3 linked regions of the Drosophila melanogaster genome follow. Changing the gene in region 1 together with any one later gene gives a genetic interaction. Each region holds a gene or a part of one and is shown in the gene's direction. Other genes may lie near its edges. The genes, in order: E(spl)mbeta-HLH, uif and Su(dx).

The links.
Region 2: of E(spl)mbeta-HLH (region 1) and uif, changing one suppresses a phenotype caused by changing the other (phenotypic suppression), as found in Drosophila melanogaster (one study listed by BioGRID).
Region 3: of E(spl)mbeta-HLH (region 1) and Su(dx), changing one enhances a phenotype caused by changing the other (phenotypic enhancement), as found in Drosophila melanogaster (one study listed by BioGRID).

What each region holds. Positions count from the first base shown.
Region 1 is NT_033777.3:26,004,022-26,009,247, reverse strand, and holds E(spl)mbeta-HLH (enhancer of split mbeta, helix-loop-helix), read left to right. Parts: upstream 1-3,224; 5' UTR 3,225-3,354; coding exon 3,355-3,942; 3' UTR 3,943-4,202; downstream 4,203-5,226.
Region 2 is NT_033779.5:7,006,109-7,012,577, reverse strand, and holds the start of uif (uninflatable), read left to right. Parts: upstream 1-2,218; 5' UTR 2,219-2,285; intron 2,286-2,668; exon of another isoform or gene 2,669-2,705; intron 2,706-3,928; exon of another isoform or gene 3,929-3,931; 5' UTR 3,932-4,178; intron 4,179-6,469. Other genes in the region: CG43321 (uncharacterized protein), read right to left, coding at 54-251.
Region 3 is NT_033779.5:2,035,387-2,044,862, forward strand, and holds Su(dx) (suppressor of deltex), read left to right. Parts: upstream 1-2,327; 5' UTR 2,328-2,838; intron 2,839-3,141; exon of another isoform or gene 3,142-3,255; intron 3,256-4,346; exon of another isoform or gene 4,347-4,418; intron 4,419-4,543; 5' UTR 4,544-4,605; coding exon 4,606-4,768; intron 4,769-4,830; coding exon 4,831-4,973; intron 4,974-5,035; coding exon 5,036-6,187; intron 6,188-6,260; coding exon 6,261-7,183; intron 7,184-7,266; coding exon 7,267-7,465; intron 7,466-7,527; coding exon 7,528-7,797; 3' UTR 7,798-8,986; downstream 8,987-9,476. Other genes in the region: CG42296 (uncharacterized protein), read right to left, coding at 1-178, 496-550; lectin-22C, read right to left, coding at 1,070-1,861.

The sequences.
Region 1 (5,226 bases):
ACTGGTTTGTGGCTTTTTGGATCTTTACATACACCACTAGAGATGCCAATGCCAGCATGCGTGCACTGTGAAAAATATTCAAATGAAATATGAAAAATATTCAAAAATGTTCAGTTATTTAAAGTGCAAGTCTGATTTGCACTGAACAAAAAGTTATCGCAGACCAACAATAGAAATTATAGTATAACAAACTTACTAATGGTTACAATGGTTACGGATTGCAGCGAATGATCTGAAGTGACAACCCATAACTCTTTTTATCGAGTGTAGAGACATGGACACACATACTTAACACGCGGCTATGACGAACAAATGTGTAAAGCATTAAAAAAGAGATCTGAAAAATACGAAAAAAATGAGAAAAGCTAAATAAAAAAAAAACACAAAAGCGTCGACCGCATCCTAAACAGCGGCAACCAGCGAATGAGGGCCAACGGGACGGACACGGAGACCCGGAGCGGCGGACTGAGCTCGGGCCCAAGCCCCAACCAATCTTTTCAAGTTGATCCCCATCAAGATATTATTTGACAGCAATGAAACGACTGGCACGAGTTTGTTTCCCACGGTCTGGCGTTGCCTTGGTGTGCGTTGTATCTGTGAGCTGTGGTGTATCTGTGGGTTTGCGGGGGGCTTTCAAGTGGGGCTTAAGCGGGGGGCTTTTTGAGAGGGGGCAGCCCCACCGACGACTGCTGACTTGGCTGGCTGCTTTTCGCGGCGCAATAAAGTTGAAAGCGCACTGTTGGATATAAATTAATTCAACAACACGCTATGGCCATACACACTGCTTGGTGTTGTTGCTCTGGGTCTCTGGTCTCCATCTCCGAGTTTTGCACGCTCTCGTGCCCCGCCCCTTACCGCTCCACCCCCTCGGGCGATCGCTCAACTCCGCGGGGGCACTGAAATTCGCGCGTGCGTATGCCATCGACAAAAAAAAAATGAAGCACAAAATTTAAAAAAAAGCAAGCAAGAGAAATAATAAACCGAGAGAAATGAGGTCTTCGCGATATATGTTTTTTTGTATGTGTAGCTGTATCTTTGGATGATTGGGTGTATAAAGGCCAGTTGGTCTTAAGCGACTTGACCATATGCGCTACACCCCAACGAGCATTGCAGAATCTGATGAAATTTGTGAAATAACTACCTTATTATTCCATATTATATTTTCGGAATGGGCAGCAGATTAGGTTTCTGCATTTCAAGCTATAGGGGCACACTCGATGAATTCTATTGGGGGCACGTGCTCGTCCACTGGGTTTCCTCTAATTGCTACAATTGGTATTAATGATTCGAGTTACGACAGTGATTCAGTTGTTAAGCTAGAAAAGTCTTTCAGTGGCGTTTAAAGGCATTTATAGCTACTACATGAAAATTGGAACTTCCGAATTACAATTGGAGCCCCTATACTATTTAGCTTTTAATTTAAGCTAGTTGAATGAATGGATTATATAAATGGATTATATTGTTATTACAAAATATTTCTTAATTTAACGTGTTATCTACAATTGTAGCTAAATTGTTTTTAAAAATCTTTAAATTTTTGAAATATTTTTTCCATATTTTTTATAGTATTGTTTCTTTAATAATCCAATATGAATTACTTCTTAATTGGTTGTTGCAAATATCATGCGACTAACTCACCCCAAAAATGCAACCACCACCCTCTGACGAACAGTTTGACACACTGCCGACCCATAAAATCCAATTAAGCATTTCCGGAGCATTCAGCTTTTTGACATCAACAGTTTAAGTGTCCCGGTCCAGCGGACAAAACGTTTCGGTTAGATAAGTTGTTAGCCGTTTGTGTCTTGGCCCGTTTATCACCGTTGCTGCTTTGTTTCGGCTAACTGTAGCTCATTTCGAATGCGTCGAGGGGCAATCTTAATTTGTCTTATTTGAGTTTGAATTTATATACACATAGTGATCGAGTAGCTGCCGTCTCGGAGCTTTTGTTATTCCTTATTTGTGTGCCAATGAGCCGGGCTCGTGTCATTTTCAATGAACGCCAGCGAGCGTCATCGTCGCCGGCACTTCTAATTAAATGTTGAGAAACCCGAGCTTAGGATCCGAGATGTGTCAGATGCCGGCGGATGGAGATCTAGCATCTCAAGCTGATGAATCACGACGATATAGCGTTAAAAATAAATACCGAATGTGCTAAATGTGTATACATACATATACATATATCGCGTATAGCCCACGAGCCATAACATTTATAGCGTGTGCTGGCAACAGCCATTACGATTGTAACCGACTTTCGCGCACACGTCGACTTCGATCGGTTCCCAGCCCGAAGTCGCTATGGTAATTGTCTACAAATAGAAGCGAGCGACGACCCAAGATCCCCAAGCGAACCCAAAACCCCCAACCGAACTGCAGCTGATCCCCAAACGATCCCCAACCGACAATCAAGAATAATCATGTAAACGAAAAGCGTAATGCTCGTCCCACGAAACCCACGACTACCACGATCCAATCAATGATCCATAAAGCGCTAACAAAAAAGCAAGAAACAGAAACACTGGCCCGTCTCGGGTTGGCCCGATGACGATTCCACAATTATCAGCGTGCCATAAGCTACTGCAAAAGGGTGAAGGCACATGGCAAGACTTGAGACCGAACCGAACCGAACCCAACCGCACCGAATTGAAGCCCAAAAGACCGGACCCCGACCATAGTCGACCATACAAATGAATTGAAATGCAAACATCTTGTTATGGATGGAAGGCATGTGCTCGCCTCGCATCGTATCTGGGATCCCAAGTCGCACAGACCTCTTAAAGGCGGCCCGTCCATCCGTCCGTCCGCTCAAGAAAGACGGTGGACGGAAAGACGAGGGACGAGGGATCGTACAAGACCCCAAGCATGCACAATCAGAAGAAGTCAGGCCAGCCGTCGTCATCGTCGTCGTCGTGGAAATCGGCTGCGAAACAGTTTCCCACGGTATAACAATCACAGCACATACATAAGGAGGGAGGGAGAGAGAGCGAGAAGGCGCAGCCCGCTCAAGTCATTTTATTGCCCTCACATATACAGGCAAAAGTATACAAAAAAACAGAAGCCACCACCACCACTACCACAACCAAGCACCACCAAGCCATCTGAAACCACCGCTGGCAACAGCAGCAGGCCGCGCACGAGGCAAAATGAGTGTCCCGCTCGCACTCACTGTCCAGTTCCCAGGGCGGCAGAGGCTATATAAAGCCGATCCCAGAGCCAGCCGACTCATTCAAAGCTCCGACTTCGTTGCGTGCACACAGAGTCTCCGAGTCCGAATCTAGTGGAACGTTGCGACTGTGGATTACGCGAGTTTACTTTACCCCCAATAAAAAAAAAACAAAACCAAACTACAACAAAATGGTTCTGGAAATGGAGATGTCCAAGACCTATCAGTACCGCAAGGTGATGAAGCCCATGCTGGAGCGTAAGCGCCGTGCCAGGATTAACAAGTGCCTGGACGAGCTCAAGGACATCATGGTGGAGTGCCTGACCCAGGAGGGCGAGCACATCACCCGGCTGGAGAAGGCCGACATCCTGGAGCTGACCGTGGAGCACATGAAGAAGCTGCGTGCCCAGAAGCAGCTGCGTCTGTCCAGCGTCACCGGTGGAGTGTCTCCGAGTGCCGATCCCAAGCTTAGCATCGCTGAGAGTTTCCGTGCTGGCTACGTTCATGCTGCCAATGAAGTGTCCAAAACCTTGGCCGCTGTACCCGGAGTGAGTGTGGATCTCGGCACCCAGCTGATGAGTCACCTTGGCCATCGTCTCAACTACCTGCAAGTGGTGGTTCCCTCGCTGCCCATTGGAGTGCCTCTTCAAGCTCCAGTAGAGGATCAAGCTATGGTCACTCCACCTCCCTCGGAATGCGACAGCTTGGAGAGCGGAGCCTGCAGCCCGGCGCCCAGCGAGGCCAGCTCCACCTCTGGCCCCATGTGGCGTCCCTGGTGATCAACTGGACTCCGGATGATATTCACCTGAATCGCCTTCAAGCGGAAGGCTTCTACAAATTTGTTGCCCCAAAGAGGTGCTGGACTTGAAACCGCACCGAACTCCTTGGAGATCATCAATTGCTGCCCAGGAATAGCTTTCCCAGCAGCCCAGCAGAGCCACCGATCATCTCTAGCAGAGCCTCAAATTTCGGCTATAGAGATGGCTGCTGCTCACTTCTTAAAGTCATAAAGAAATGAAAATAAATGAAATTCCAACTCAAGAATCTCTGCATTTACTTATTTCCCATAGAGCTGATTACTCAGACTTCCCAGACATTTAGTGGGCGTCCAACCGCAAACTAAAGCAACTAAAAAAAAGAAACCCCTTAAAACAAGAAACGAATTGGAGATAAACTCCGTGGTGAACCGAATCGCAGAGCCCACAGCCGGAAGTCGCTGAATATTTTCCCACACTCGGACTATCGTCTGGTCTCTCCGGCTTGGCCTCATTATGCCCCGAGAATTCGGATTGCGAGGGTATGCGGGGCTTTCAGGGGGCATACAACATACATACGTATATCTGCGGGAAGTTTTGCGCCGGCGCTGTCGCAATTAAATAATAAAATAAAGCAAAAAGTCAGTTCTAGGAAACGGCATTTATTATGAGGCCCGCCGAGTGTGAGAACCGCGGCTCCGCTGTCAATGGCTCAGCATTGTGGTCATTGTGTTTCGCTTTTTTTTTAAGATTTTGCTCTTTTTTAGTTTTTTTTTGTTCAGGCTTTGACAGCTTTAACTGCGCTTGACCGCTTGGCACATGCGCGGACGGACCGGCGGTCAGACATTGCAAATTAAGCCCGCGACCGCGACCGTCTCGGCACTTAAGTCTTAAAACTCCAATACTGTATGGGTATGGATAGGGGCTGGGATTGGGGTAGGGGTATGGGGTATGTGTATCGGAGTGCGGTTCGATTACGGAACCTCGGATTCAGCGCCTTTGTCTGGCGGACAACTATGATGATGACTACTTACCAGGTCGTCTCGAGTCTGGGACCGTTCAAGCCGTCGCTGATTGCTGTTAATCTTCAGAAAATGTTATTAGTCACGTAACATTGGCATCGAGACGGCCAAGTTAGCGCTTCTCCGCTTATTTTGTGCTTTTTTTTGTTGTGGACTACAAAACGGCTATTTATAGGGCTCAACGGTAGTCTGCTGAAAATGGGTGATCTATTTTGCGATGGACCAGTTGAAAGGCGATCAGTTCACTCCAAGATTGACTAAGTGCCGCAATGTTGGCCATTGCCGG
Region 2 (6,469 bases), on another chromosome or scaffold:
CAAATTCATTTGGTTCACCATGTAGAAGTTCCATATGCGCCATGGTTGTTATATTAATCATCTTCCGAGACATCGGGCGCATAAAGATCAAATACTTCGAGGAATTGGGCCAATTTCTTGCCCATAAATCCGCCCAATATAATGCCGGGTATAACTGTGATGAAAACAGCGATGTACTTGTATTTATTGTTCTCCTTTCGAATTTTATTTATTTCTTTAAAGTCCTTGAAGTTGTCTCCACGAAATGGCATTTTTGTGTTTTTATTTCGGTAACTGATTTTAGTGTGTGTTCGGAAATGGAATACGACATTATTCTGATAGAAATTTCAAGACTTTCTCCGGCCAAATTGGGACAGGCACGCCCCAGAACCTAAACGCGGATCCAAAACCCTCATCGGAATATTTGAGTGTGCGCCCTATATGGAACTTCCGTTCTGCTGGCTCAAACGACTGATTTTGTCAACCGTCTGATCGTCCCTCTTCAATTGGCTTGCAATTGTCTACATTTCCGTCTAAGGAAGGGTATTGCCTTTTATTTTAATATTCGACCTGCAGCAGTGTTGTGTTTGTTTGTTGATTAACGGAGCGTAGAATAAAAGGTGTCATTTGGAAAGAATTTGTGTTTTCAAAAGGAATTGTAAAACTAAACAAGTTTTAAATGTAATTAGATAGTTCCCTTTATTCATATTCCCTTAACTAATGCTTTAGCATTAGGAAAACTAAATTTCCTTTTCTACTTCCTAAGAAGTCAAGACACATTTTAATTGCACCGAAATAATAATCATGACCTGTTTTTGAGAAGGAAGTAAAAACTTATTCGAAAATGGATAGATGGGAGTCTAATGATCGCGTGTACCCTATAATTAAATTGTTTTATTCCAGTGGATGTGTAAATTGGATCGATTTATCTGCTTTATATTTCTACTGGAAGCAGTGCATTATTTATCATCATTTTCGTTTTATCTGTTTACAAGCATTTATTTTTAATTTGAAAAGAAAGGAAGTGAAAAGCTTAATAAATCATTCTTGTTAAAGGAATGATAAACTAAAATTAATTAACTCTAAATTCGGCTATTCTCATCGGCTAAGTTAATTGGTTTTAACCAGGTCCAAGTGCAAACAATGGTATTTAGTTAAGATTGAGTTAACATTGAATAATCATTTACATACCACAAATATAGAATTGATTTTTTGTCTAAGAATCCCAGCTGACTTTTCATTGATGGTTTCTCACTGTTATCAAAATTTTTCTTAAGCCCCTTCAATTTGCCTTTTTGGACTCTTCATCCACACAGAGATAAAGTGTTCCTTAATAGAAATCCTTCGGGTTGGGAAATCCCACCATAAATAGTAATTGTTGTGCGCAATTCTATAGAATTCCTAAGAAACGAGTGCGAAATTCCTTTTAGCGACGGATGTGACGTAAGGTTACATATACGAACAAAATATAAAAAGGCATAAGATCTTCTAATGGCCATCGATACTAAAAACAATGAATATCCTTGAAGCACTTTGAAAACTATACACACAAAAAAGGATAACTTGCGGGAGAAATTTTAGAAGTTATTTAAAAGAGAAGATAATCTTGATTTGAAAAAGTACCTGCAATAACCCTAACTATTAAATGAGTAGTTTTTGTTGATCATTTGTAGATTCCATTTCCGTTTAGCATTTCGCACGTTTTGCACAGTTTATGACTTCATAAAAAAAATAATGGGACAAGAGAGAGCAGTGTGTAACCAAACAGAGGCAGCAAGAAGTGCCAAAGGATTCCAAGGGCCAAGTGTAACAATCCCACTTTTATGGTGCTCTCTACTTTGTTAGCCAACCCTTTTAGCAAGTTCGTTGCTTGAGTCTTTCGTTCGGCCACCGCTTCCGTTGCGTGCGAATGTTTGAAAACAGCAAGCAACCCAAAATCAAGGGAGGGTAAAAACCCACCTCCGACTTCACATGTCCTCGGCAATTAAACGAAATTTCCCAAGAAACAAGGACGCCGCAGCTAATCCCGTCTAGGCGGTGTAGCCCACGCATTTGGCCAACATCGGTTAGGTAGCGTTTGTGCGGCGAATTCGCAGTGCCGGCTGAGATTACCGAGCCATCATTTCGGCCGAATTCGACGGCGGCGAATAACGATCGGTATGCCGGTTGTTTTTTCGCCGACCGATAACCATAGAAATGTGAAAAAAACCTAAGAAATACGAAGCTTTTCGGGGCTTCAGTATGCCTTCGACTGTGGCGCGTTGTGGACGTTAAGAGGCTGCGGCGAACCCGAACTCTAGACAAGTGTATGTATCGATTCGACTGGGTTTTCTTCAGTACGGCAGTGAGTGAGTGAGTGAGTAAGTGTGAGCGAACGAAAGCCGTTAAGAAGTCTGGCGAGATGAGGCTAGATATACATATACAGTGAGCCATAGGAAAATCTGTAAAACGGGCACGTTAAGCTGTTTTATTTTCCTCGCCTCGCAGTCTTACGTTTCTACCTATTGCCGATCGCCTCTACCTCTCTTCTCTACCTTTTTTTCTGCTTTCTGGCCCGCTCTTCGCCAGTTTCTTACCATTTTTGCTGTCGTGTCTTGTGGTCTTTGGGCGAGTGTAGACGAGTGTGTGTATGTGTGTGTGCGTGGACTGAAACTTCAGGTGCAGACCGCGTTGATTTGCTGAACAAGTTTCAGTCTGAGTTTGGCCTTCGTGTGGTACAGTACATGGTACAGTAAGCGCTCCCCGGATCTGCAGATCTCTTTGTGTCCTATAACAATAAGTGCTTGTGCATTTTGTGAATGTATTTGCCTCGAAACTGGATTTTATTCGATTGTTTTGCCCAGCAAAGTGTTTGATTTTGTGCCTGTGTTCGTTGTACGCTGGCTAGCGAAAAAGGATTTCTGTGCATTTTAATGGAGGCGCGTGCTTGGATCGTGTGTGCTCTATGAGGAAACTGACCATTAAATGCGAAGCAGCAAAAAACAAGAGGAATTTTAAATTGAAAAAAAAAAAAGTGTAATAGATTAACTGCAACACAGAGGACAATACTACGAAATCAGTGAATATATAACTAACATTAAATGCAAGAGTGGTAGAGATACGACAAATTAATGCGAGAATTTCTTTAGCTATTTTATCAAATGAAGGATAGGAAGTCAGCAGTAGTCCGCTATAATAATTTTATGTTGTTTTTAGCCGAGTTGTTGAACTTCTAGTATAATTTGTTCTCCCTGTTTTCTTTGCCAGCCGTTCGGTTTTTACCAGTCCATTAACTTGTCTGTGCCTTTTGCACTTTACTTTGCCAACTGACATTAGACTACTTGTGTGAGTAAGTAGTCCATCCATCGGGAGTAACACACTCGGGTACTCACTTCACATGCCAGCTGCGCATTTACGCTCCCATTAACCGGGTAGAAATAACAAACTTACGGAAAAAGAAGCCACAACTGCTACCAGAAACTGGCCAACAAGTGTTTTGCACAATGGCCAAAAGAAACAACCACAAAAACTAAACAGAAAAAAATATATAGAATGCAGTTTTGGGGTTAAAGTGAAACCAACAACATTTTTGACTTACAAAAAGTTCGTGTCTTAAGTCATTTGTTTGGTTGTCCAATCGTAGAGACCCAAAATCTCAATAGGAATACTTCTTGGACTATCCTCACCAGATTTTCACCTAATTAACATAAATATTTCTTCGAACATTTTTGTGAACTCAATCCCAAAATGTTCCCAACACATTTCGAAGACGTGCTGCGACTTCAGACGAGAATTCTTGGACTTACTTGTTTCGGATCTCTGCCACGGCATGCATAATTAAACAGACCCATCCCCATTAGACAAACTATAGATAGTCAGGCTATCCGATCATAAATTACATTTATGTGACGCGTTTTCGTTTAGCTCAGCTTTTATTTTAAAACTTTTAATCAACTTAAATATCTACCAGCAGTGCAACACTGGCCTTGTACATTTAAAAGTTTAAATAAATAAAAAGAAAACCGCACCAATAAGTTGCCATAAAAAACACTGACACCGCCGTCGTCGCGAAAGGGAAAGAAACCGTCGTTATTGTCGCTTTTGTTGACCTCAAGGATAACCAGCTGACATGCCACATAAATTGGAATACTAGCAGTCGCGAACGATACGTATCGAACATATATAGTGGTTATATACAGCTAAAGCTGCATTTATAAGAGGTGAGTTGCATATTGAAATGGCAGCGAATGAGTCGGAAAAGAGTGGCAAAGTAAAAAGTGTAGAGTGGAAATGCGGGTTGGATTGAATACTAAGTATAAGTATTAGTCTACCAATGACGTTATATTCTTCTGCTTTTAAGCTGACATCATTGCATACCATCACTCTATAATACCTCATAACTATCAATCAGTAAGCCAAATGAATTAAAAGCCAATCTCAAGACACGCCTTATTTTGGCTTCAGTCATTGCGCAAAAATCCGATTAATTATGCATATGTCTACATACAAATTAAGCCATAAACAATGCCATGCTTTCGTTTTATCCAACGATTTGCAATGAAACTTCGTTTTAATTGTGTTTAAATAATTGATTGATTCCCATTGATTGAGCAAACAATTGGCGTATCGAGAGTGGTTATGCTGTATTCCATATAAAGCCTCCCATATGGATTCCCACTTATCCACAAAAAGTAGCACACCCGAACAACAATAAGAACAATTTCTGTTACTTTCTATTAAACAAAACCTAAAAAATGCTTCGATTGTCTGCCGGCCGTGTCTGACTCGCCTTTGTTGTCACATTCATTCAATAAAGGCCAAGTCGGCTTCCCTATACCCGTACCCATACCCATACCCATACCCGTACCCCCAAAACTCCATCGAAAAGTCGAAAAGCGAGAGCTACCCAAACAGTTAACCTCAATTTCAAGACGCACTCGGCGCGCTGTTGTTGTTGTTGCTTAATAACAGAAACCGAAACAAACCATAGAAGTAGTAGAAAATTTCACTCAGACCAAAGTGAAAAGCAGAACAAATGCAAAAAGCCCTCATCACACTTGTAAACAAGCCACAAAAATTCGGTGTTTGCTTTTTATATCGTAGCTCATTTTTTTTGGCAAAGCTATTTGGCAAATATAAATAAACTGGTTGCTTTATGGAAATTGCCATGCCATGATTAGGGATTCTCTCCGGAGATGAGTTCTACTTAAGTCATTTTCATAACTTGGCAAAAGGTATCGGAACAAGTAAAACTTGTTTTAGCGCGTGCTTTATGCCTTAGTCGCTATGGCTTAGTCATAATTTGTATATTGGTATTTGGCTCACAGCATACAAGCGGAAGTTGTGGCTAAAATGTGTGTTAAGAGTTTAATAGGGATTGCAAGCAAGAGAAGTGAATGCAAGTTTGTTGCCTAAGTCTTTTGATTTGTGTGGGCTTCGCTGGAAAACTTTTGCTACAAAATCGTGAATGGAGTTGGAAAGTTATTTTGTGACTCCGATTTTTTTAAAGTCTTGCTCGTGAAAATTTAATTCAAATTAATTTTTTACCTAACAAAGGTTTCGGTTTCACTTGTATGATCTAATCCACCATTTCGCAGGAAACAATCCCCGAAAGAAACGCCACAAAGTCATCTATTATTTGGGCTATGACGAGTTCAGCATTAGATTCTTCGACCTTTTCTCGAAGTTTGATAATTGGCAGCTGATGCCAATGTATCGGCAGGTAGATACACACAAACACACCCTAAAAAACGAGCAATAACAAAGGGTACGTCCAGAATTTAATTCACAGCAATACCAGGTAAAGACCCATCTTCAAATCCCTACTGAAAGTGCGAGAAGTCAGTTGAAATTAGTGGAATGAAATGTATTATGGGTCTAGTTTATTAGGACTGATGGGTCCTACGCATGGTTCACATGAATGACAAATCTCTTGCCGCATATCAAGTGTCAGTTGGCCATTAAAAGAATGGAATGCCAGGGCGTTGTCGGCGTTAGTCTTAAGAGAGATCCATCCATCAGCGGTCTGATCTGGACCAAGATCTTTTCCGACATGCTAGTAAATTATTATAAAGAGAGAGATAGAGATGGCTATTTGCTGCATGTCTGGCGTCCATCAAATCATTAAATAATTATAGCCATTTGATTGGGTTAATAATTTTCAAATCATCAACTCTTTCCCGGCAACGAAAGTTTTCGAAACTGTGGATCTTGATTTTCAATTTTTGTTTATATTGGGATTCTCAACTTCCGTCTCGGCGGCAGTGAAAGTGCCTTCAAATGCCAAACTCATTCTAAAAGCGAATTAATGGTCATTGCAGCGCTCTCTATTTCTTCGCGGCAAAAAGCAGCTTAATCATGTTGAAAAGCTGTTGACAATTTCATAAGTTTTCCAAGGTGGGCGCTTTCTCGGCGCCATCAGCCATTGCTCGTCGATTAGTTACAATTGCCACAAATTTTCTTTATTTCTCCAACTCCATCGCCATCGCCAGCTTCATGTTGTGTGCGTTTT
Region 3 (9,476 bases), on another chromosome or scaffold:
GTGATGCACTCCCAATCCTCGCCAGGCAGAACGCAGCTGCCCAAACTGGACTCGAACACCAATCCCTCGTTGCACTTCACCGGAATCCAAACGTGCGAGTTGGAGGGCAGTTCCCGGCACTTGTAGAAGGCGTCGCAGCGGGTTTTGTGGGGGCGTGTCTTTTCGGGGCACGGCTTGCCTGCGTTAAGCCAGTGCGGAAATGGGAAAAGGAGTAATGTTCACATTAACATGGGAAAAGCACTTCGACTTTAGCGGAGATTTCCGAATAATAAGTTTTGGTTTTCCTACATGGTTTCATTTTGTACATATTTTTAAAGCAATGGAAGGTGCTATTCACTTTCTTGTAATAATTGTAACTATTCATTTCAAGGCATTTTTTATTTTTTAGGATACTTCAGTGAATTACGTTTATGAATTCATGAACACTTTCCTTTGAAAGTAGGAAAACCAAAACTGATTTAAATCTGGCACAATACACTTGCTGGTGGAGTTTACCTTCGGAAAAGTAAAACAAGCCCGCGACCAACGCGTAAACCAGCAGCTGCCTCATCGCGTATCCTTTTCGCGTATCCTCTTCGCGTAATCCTTCCCGACCGTAGTGCGAAGTCCGTAGCCGTAAGTTCCGATCTGCTCCGTTCGAAGCCCGCGATACGAATGACTGCGGATGCGGAGCGGTCGGCACATTAAATTTTGATAATTTTCACTTTGAGCCGCGTTCTCTGAAACTCTTGACAATGTGTGAAAAAGTCCGAAAGCGAACAAACAACATGGTATACGACGAATTTTCTTGGACTCTCCGCTCTCAGTGCTCGTATTTAAAACGAGTGCTAATAATTGTTTAAACAAATAGTTTTTGTGCTACTGGAAAGATCGGAGAATCAAGGAAATTTCACTTTTTGTGCGCAGTTTGTTTGTCTAAAAGTGCAATATAACGTGAAACTGGTAAATTTAGTAACCATAAAGTGAGTAATAGAGATAAGCTAATGAAGGCTTGAGGGATTGAATAAAAAATCACAGGTGTTACGGCATCAGCAAAGGTTTTATTATTCTCATGTGGTTTCTATTTAAATCATACATTTAAATCTTCCTCCTCGGTCTGGCAAATGAACCGGAAAGTATAGTGGCATGGGTAATCGTACATTTCCCCGTTGTATAGGAACACGCAGTTGAGGGTGTCCAACTGAGAGGGTCTCCCCGAGGCCCATTTCAAAAAGGTAGTCTGCTTGCCCGTGGGCATGGACAAGAATTTTCCCTCGTGGTCCAAGTCATTGATTCCCAGCCAGTAATGCGTGTCCTCCTTGAGATTCGCCTTGATGGCGGCTAGATCTGCCTCGTCCTTAATGTCGGCCAGGTGCCCTCCCATATTGCGACAAGTTTTTGAAGCAGTGGACCAGTTCTTCTCGGATACTTTCTCTATGTAATAGTACTTTGAGCCGATTTGCTCGAATCCGAGGTATTTTATTTTGGTTTTTACTTCAAGGACTGTTTTCTCCAGGGCCGACAGTATGCCTTCCATGCAATTCAGTCGTTCAGTAAAGTTCTGTTCGTTAACATTCAGTTTTCTGCCTTGGGCATCCAGTGCGACTTCAATGCTTAGTTGCTTATTCTGCAGAGCAGTCAGTTGGCCTTCCATCGTGTACTGTCTCACCAGGACCTCGTTAGCCTTGCTTGAATTATTGGAATTCGCCAGATTTTGGGAAATGGTCAGGTGATTTAACACGGGCGTAAGTACACCCAGACAGAATCCTCCACATTGACTAGGAGGGTCCTTTAAAGGACAAATCACATCGGATTCTGCCCAAGCTCCATACAAATTTAAAGCAAGAAGACCACATAGCAAAGCACTTGCGGATTTTAGCATTGTAAGCACTTTTTACTGCCAAACACTATGTTATTCGATGAACTGAATCCGCGCTTTTATATTTATTCAATAGCACCACAAAATTAAATAACATTTAAAGAAATTCAATGAGCAACGCAACTGAGTAATGAATATTCAGGGGGCTTCTAATTTATATGGAGTAATAAGCTTAGATTCCAATAAAATCAGAGGGGCCAGAAGTACTAGCTGGTGCATAACTTTTTGGCTAATTATTTACCTTTGTTTTGTTGTGACTACGGGCAATACGTTCTTATTTTTATTCCTAATTCCTATTCGCGGTCATTTTCAAATCTGGTTGGCTACTCCATTTTGAGCTTGTACGGCAACTCTGGTTGAACATGTAAGTTGGCAATATAGCGAGTACGCCAACCCAGTCTAGCGTGCATAACAAGCCTCGCCAATTGAATTCAACCTATCGATTCGCGCACTGAGTGGCCACATCAGTTGTATCGAAAAACATCGTCCAAAGTTGCAGCTCTAGAAATTGCTGCTTGCAAGCGAAGCAAAATAACAAATAAACAATTAGTGCAGCGATATCAACTGCTCGCGATTACGTGGACCAAAGCGAGGGCGGCAGCGCCAACTAGTGCAATAATCCAGCCATCAATTTTGGGGCCCGGGAAACCCAGTTAAGAATCCCGCACACACACTCGCACATGCAGCCGCACACAGGAGACAACAACCACACACACAGGCGCAAGTTGTAGGAGCACCAGAGGCAGAAGAAGAAGCAGCAGAAGGTAAGACACAGGTAGAAAGGAAAGGAAAACGGAGGAGGAGAAACCCCCAGAAATTGCTAAAAACAAAAAGGAACGCCTCTTGCATTGGAATTCGCCAGCGGTAGAGCGGCGGCAGCGAGTGCGAGCGGGACGGAAGTCGCGACCTTTGCCTCAATTACAAGCGCACACACACAAACACACACACGCCCACCCACAGAAGGAGTGGGAGTGGGAGAGGTAGTTACCTTCTTTCTGGCGTGCGTTACATGACCACGAATAAATATATATCTACACATATATATGTGTGTACTGTAGCATAGTGGCGCTGTGTGGGTGACTAAGCCCTGCGGTCGATAATTCAAGGAAGTTCAAGTTCCCCTCCCTCCACCACCCCTCCCCATCCATCGAGCGAGAAGTGCATTCTAGGCTTATTGACAGCTGTTGCTGATTACTTCGCTTGGCTCGCGCTCCGGCTGCCCCACCAGATAGCTTCCCTTTGTTCATCGGCCCACTGATAAGCGCTCGAATGATAGGCGAAATGAGCCGGAAAGTGCGTGCTAATTGATCGGAGAACTGTGTCCCATTCAGATCCATGCAAAGCCCTTCCAAATCGATTTCAATCCGGTCACAGAATCTGATGAGTAGACACTAATGGTAAACAACAAGCTGCACTTGCTCACGTGTTCTCGGTTAATTAATGTAGTGAAAACGCTAGCAAAAGAGAAATCGCGAACGGTACACAGCGAGAAAATCATGGTAGTTATCAGCATGCCGATAAGCAAAGCGAAGAAGTCATTAAAGCATTGAGATTTCAGTTCTGACGATATATAACAAAATAACTTATTTGTGGGCTTGTGTATCGCCATATCGGCCATGTTGCTTCCTGCACACAATCAATATGCAATAGCCATTCAACAATTGAAACCGAATTCACTTGCCGTTTTCTTTTTCGCGTTGAGCCGATGACTCACATGGCAACATTATTATACAATCTATTGTGTAGCGGGGTGTTTGCTATCAAAGTTATGGATGACCAGCAATCGGTGCTGAGTGTGTACGAAAAAGTACAGGGAAACACACACGCACACAGCCGTGGCAGTCGCAAATTATGGAGAAAATTAATAGGCGATAATACGGTGCTTCCCAGTAGTTTAAAGTCCACGAAATCAAGTGCACTTATCAGTGCATTTATATATTTATTTGGGGGAATTTCTATAGTAATACAAGTTTCTTTCAATAATTTAGAACTCTAGCCTCACTTAGTCAAAGAATATATTTTGGGATCAGAAACATTACTCAGTTTTTTAATAAACTGTTTACCCAGTTTGGTCATGATTAATTTCGCTTGAAATAGCATAATTTTTATCTTTCATATATGACCGAGTTGCACTGTACATACATTAGCGCCGATTTTACAGCTCACAATTTGTTCGAGCAGTTTATTTCACCAAAAAAGTGAAGGCCTATTCGCAAACAGTTTTGTTGCCATACTGTCGTTTACACACTATATAATACACAAAGCTATACAGGCCATATCTTATCTGCGGATAGTCGCTTTCATAATGATATAGAGCTGGCATTATCTGCCTTCTAAGATCAGGTGTATAAGTAGTCGAGAGCTTAAAGCGACTAAGGAAAACTGCATAACACCTAAAAAGTGCTTAGTAAATCACTCAGGGTTCCCATAAAGGCCTGTTGGTAATCTGTAAACCTAGCAAAAGTGTGTACAACACTTTTATTCGGATAGTTATTTCCACTCTATAAAAGCTTCCTGTTCAACAGCATTGTACATTTTTGGGTATTGATAAACCATTTACGTATGTAGACCGTGTTCCGGACTTATCTTATCAGTCCAGAACACGCAATTTCCCCCCATTCGATACTTTCCACCACCAATATTCAATAGCAGCGTGCTCAATACTGGCTTTCTCTTCACTCAAAGGGAGGAATATAAGGCGGAGGAGGAGGCGGAGCACCAGGAGCACTCACACACTCAGCCACTAAATGGCCGATGGAAATGGGCTGCCAGCGGGTGCAGCTTCCGGCGGCATGGAAGCCGGGCAGACAGTGAATGGAGCGGGATCCGCCAGCCCCACGCCCACCTCCAGCTCGGGGGCGGGGGCCAGTGGGAGTGCCAATCAAGGATATCATCAATTAAGCGTGACAAGTGAGCAAACAAAAGAAAGTGAAACATTCTGTTCAATCAATAATGGCCCCAAATCCTTTCAGTCGAGGAGGCTTCGCTGCGCAACAATGGCTTCCTCAAGCCAAATCCCTACGTGGAGCTCTTGATTGACAGCAAAAGCAAGCGGAAAACGGACCTGGTGAAGAACAGCTATTTGCCCAAGTGGAACGAGGAGTTCACAGTGCTGGTGAGTAGAAACAGTAATAAAAGTCAATTATTTGTAATATCCACGGGATCTATCGTCTCTAGATTACACCCAATTCAACGCTGCACTTCAAAGTGCTGGATCACTCCAGTTTCCGTAAAGATGCCATGCTTGGAGAGCGGATCATCAACCTGGCGCACATTCTGCAGCACTACAATGGGCGGTGCGAGTTCCTTGAGCTGACCATCGACCTGTTCGTCACCAGCAAGTCGGACAATCGCCAGACGAAGAGCGGCGAACTAGTGGCCATCCTCAATGGCCTCAAACTCGATATGAGCAAGCTGCAGATTCAGCCAGTGGCTGGCCAACAGAATGGCAATCCACCCGTCCAGGCGGTCAATCCGTCGGTGGTCAGTGATGCGGCCGCCGGACGAAGTTGCATGATTTACGGTGGAGTACGGGCACGGATGCGACTACGCTCGAGCAGTGGAAATAGCAACGGCGGAGAGACCCGCTCTCCTCTGCCGAATGGAGGTGGAGATCACAGGAGATCTACGCAGGCGCCCCCGGTGTGGGAACAGCAACAGCAGCAATCCCAGAATCAACAGCAGCCCCTGAGAATGGTCAATGGCAGTGGGGCGGCCGTGCCGCAGACAGCTCCGTATCCTCAGCAGCCACCAGCTCCCGCACTAGCTCGTCCTCTAACCCAAGTGTACGGAGCGCTGCCAGAGAATACACAACCAGCTGCTGTTTATTTGCCAGCTGGAGGAGGAGCAGCAGTAGGACCACCTGGAGTAGCAGGCCCACCAATTGAACAGCCAGGAGTTGGACTGCCCGTGAGCCAAAGCACAGATCCGCAACTGCAGACACAACCAGCGGATGATGAGCCGCTGCCTGCAGGGTGGGAAATCCGTCTGGACCAGTACGGTCGCAGATACTACGTAGATCACAATACACGATCCACATACTGGGAGAAACCGACACCGCTGCCCCCGGGCTGGGAGATCAGGAAGGATGGGCGCGGTCGAGTTTACTACGTAGACCACAACACAAGAAAAACTACCTGGCAGCGGCCGAACAGTGAGCGTCTGATGCACTTCCAGCACTGGCAGGGTCAGCGGGCCCACGTCGTGTCTCAAGGCAACCAGCGATACCTGTACTCCCAGCAGCAGCAGCAACCAACGGCGGTGACAGCCCAGGTGACGCAGGACGACGAGGATGCACTGGGTCCACTACCAGATGGCTGGGAGAAGAAGGTAAAGCCGTTTGTCTAGATTAGAAAAAGTATTTATTTTAACTCGTTCCTTTATTTACTTAATCCTTACGCAGATCCAATCGGACAACAGAGTGTACTTTGTTAACCACAAGAACCGAACCACCCAGTGGGAGGATCCACGCACGCAGGGCCAGGAGGTGAGCTTGATCAACGAGGGCCCGCTTCCACCCGGCTGGGAAATCCGCTATACAGCCGCCGGTGAGCGCTTCTTCGTAGATCACAACACGAGACGAACCACCTTCGAAGATCCTCGACCCGGTGCTCCGAAGGGCGCCAAGGGAGTGTACGGAGTGCCACGCGCCTACGAACGCAGCTTCCGCTGGAAGCTGTCGCAGTTCCGGTACTTGTGCCAGAGCAACGCTTTGCCATCGCACATCAAGATCACGGTGACGCGACAAACCCTGTTCGAGGATTCATACCACCAGATCATGCGTCTGCCAGCCTACGAACTGCGAAGGCGGCTCTATATCATATTCCGCGGCGAGGAGGGACTGGATTATGGTGGTGTATCTCGCGAGTGGTTCTTCTTGCTCTCCCACGAGGTTCTGAATCCCATGTACTGCTTGTTTGAGTACGCGAACAAGAACAACTACAGCCTGCAGATAAATCCCGCCTCGTACGTGAACCCCGATCACCTGCAGTACTTCAAGTTCATCGGTCGCTTTATTGCGATGGCCCTGTATCATGGAAGGTTTATCTACAGTGGATTCACAATGCCATTTTACAAGCGCATGCTGAACAAGAAGTTGACCATCAAGGACATCGAAACGATCGATCCGGAGTTCTACAACTCACTTATCTGGGTAAAAGATAACAACATCGATGAGTGTGGATTGGAGCTCTGGTTTAGCGTGGACTTCGAAGTGCTCGGTCAGATAATCCATCATGAGTTGAAGGAGAACGGGGAAAAGGAGCGCGTCACGGAGGAGAACAAGGAGGAGTACATCACCCTCATGACGGAGTGGCGGATGACACGGTATGCATTTTACTTGATAAACGACAATATGTTGTCAATATGGGTGTCATTTTTGACTCGGTATTAACTGATTCCTATTGCAGTGGCATTGAGCAGCAGACAAAGACGTTCCTGGAAGGCTTCAATGAGGTGGTGCCCCTGGAATGGCTCAAGTACTTTGACGAGCGCGAGCTGGAGCTTATTCTGTGCGGCATGCAGGACGTGGACGTGGAGGACTGGCAGCGCAACACCATCTACAGGCACTACAACCGCAACTCCAAGCAAGTTGTCTGGTTCTGGCAGGTGGGTTCCTTTGTGTTCTTTGTGCCCTTTCCATTCGCTAATCCGGATAATTGGCTCCACAGTTTGTTCGCGAGACGGATAACGAGAAGCGAGCTCGCCTGCTGCAGTTTGTGACGGGCACGTGTCGCGTGCCGGTCGGAGGATTCGCCGAGCTGATGGGCTCCAACGGGCCGCAGCGCTTCTGCATCGAGAAGGTGGGCAAGGAGACGTGGCTGCCGCGCTCGCACACCTGCTTCAATCGATTGGACCTGCCGCCGTACAAGAGCTACGATCAGCTGGTGGAGAAGCTGACCTTTGCCATCGAGGAGACTGAGGGCTTCTGCCAGGAATGAGTGGCAGTCGATTTGTGGTCGGTTTGTTGATTAATGTTTAATTCCAGTTAAGCGCCTGCTTTACCGTCCCCTCCCCCTTTCCATTTGACGACCACGTTGCGTTAAATAGTTACTGTTATTATTATTATTACATACGTATGTATTACTACTGTATACTGTAAACACGAAACACACACTTCTGTCTGTCTATTCCTATGTTCGCAACCGATATCACACGAGATATTTGTTAAAAGTGCACGAAACTTGAGAACAATCTATGTATGAATGTATTGAGAGCCTATTTTAGAGATATTTATAATTTGTTAGGCATAATTTATCCACTGCATAACTCTCCTGTGTAAATTTAAGACAAAGTTTGATTGATTCGCTTCTGTTGATATTTCTTACGACCATCTATCTTCAAATGTAATTGTCATACATTTCTTTGGATCCTTGTTTTACGCCGATAAATAAAACCACCTACCGTTTAGCTTCAGCTAAGCCTTTAAGAACTTAAGCACCGCCATTCCCAGAATATATTCAAATTTGAACTTGGGCTTGCTTAGGGCATCCATCCGTTTGGATCACATCAAACTGTCTAGCAATCGCAACTAAATGTTACGTTTTCGCCATAAGATTGCACTCTGATTGCTTCTAGTTCAATTGTACAACGAGCCCCGGCTTGCATGTTTTTAACCACAATTGGTGAATTTATATTGATACGCTCCACTGTAAATAGTTTACTCGACCGAATTCGAATTGTTGACGAGCTGAGTTTGGTGTACTGGCAAACTGTTTTAGCTGTTCAATTGTTTATCGAGCATACACAGAACTTTAAATAGAAACTATATTTTAAATATGTATATCCACACTAACGACGCAGACATCGTGAGAAGTGAGAACTTGAAACACCGCAAACAAACAAACAAAATACGTTAGGATTTTAAACGACAAACACGAGAATACACTTAAACCAATAATGAATTCAAATAGCAATAATTGTTAACAAAACTAAAGGCGATTCGTATATTAACTACGCTACACAAAAGTGCGGACTAAGACAAATCGGATGATTAGGAGGTGCGGCGTATATAGGGTTGATTGTGTACGAGTACATATTAAATATATATATATATATTAAATAGATTTTATTTAGTTTAATGCAATGTGTACTGTATTATATAAAATAAATGCAAAATTATTTAGTGATACACGGCCGATGGATGAAATACTTGATACTTGGCGTTGCTGTGTCGACATTTGCGGTTGCTTTTCGCTTAGTCGGCTGCCAAATCGGCGATGCGGCAATAAATGTAATTATTTTAAGCGCATTTTTGGCCGCCACTTGCATTTTAATGCCCCGCAATTAAAATCTATATCACATATGTAAAAATCGCATTTCCACACCAAACGAGTCTCGTTTCGGTCAGCCAGTGAAATGGCCACTGATAACATCGCCATCATCATCCCCGTCATCATTGCCATCATAACCACCAACATCACTATCGTTATCCTGGGCTGTCTAACCTACATTTTTGCAGCGCCTCCTGGTGGGCGGGCGCTCAAATTTAACAAGCTGCTCCATTATTTATTGCGGTTAAATTGCAAAAACACAGCAGTCAAAACAGGAAAACTACACAGCGTACAGGTGGCGATGCACTGAGAGGATTTTGCTGGTAGATCCTATCAAAATGGTGCTT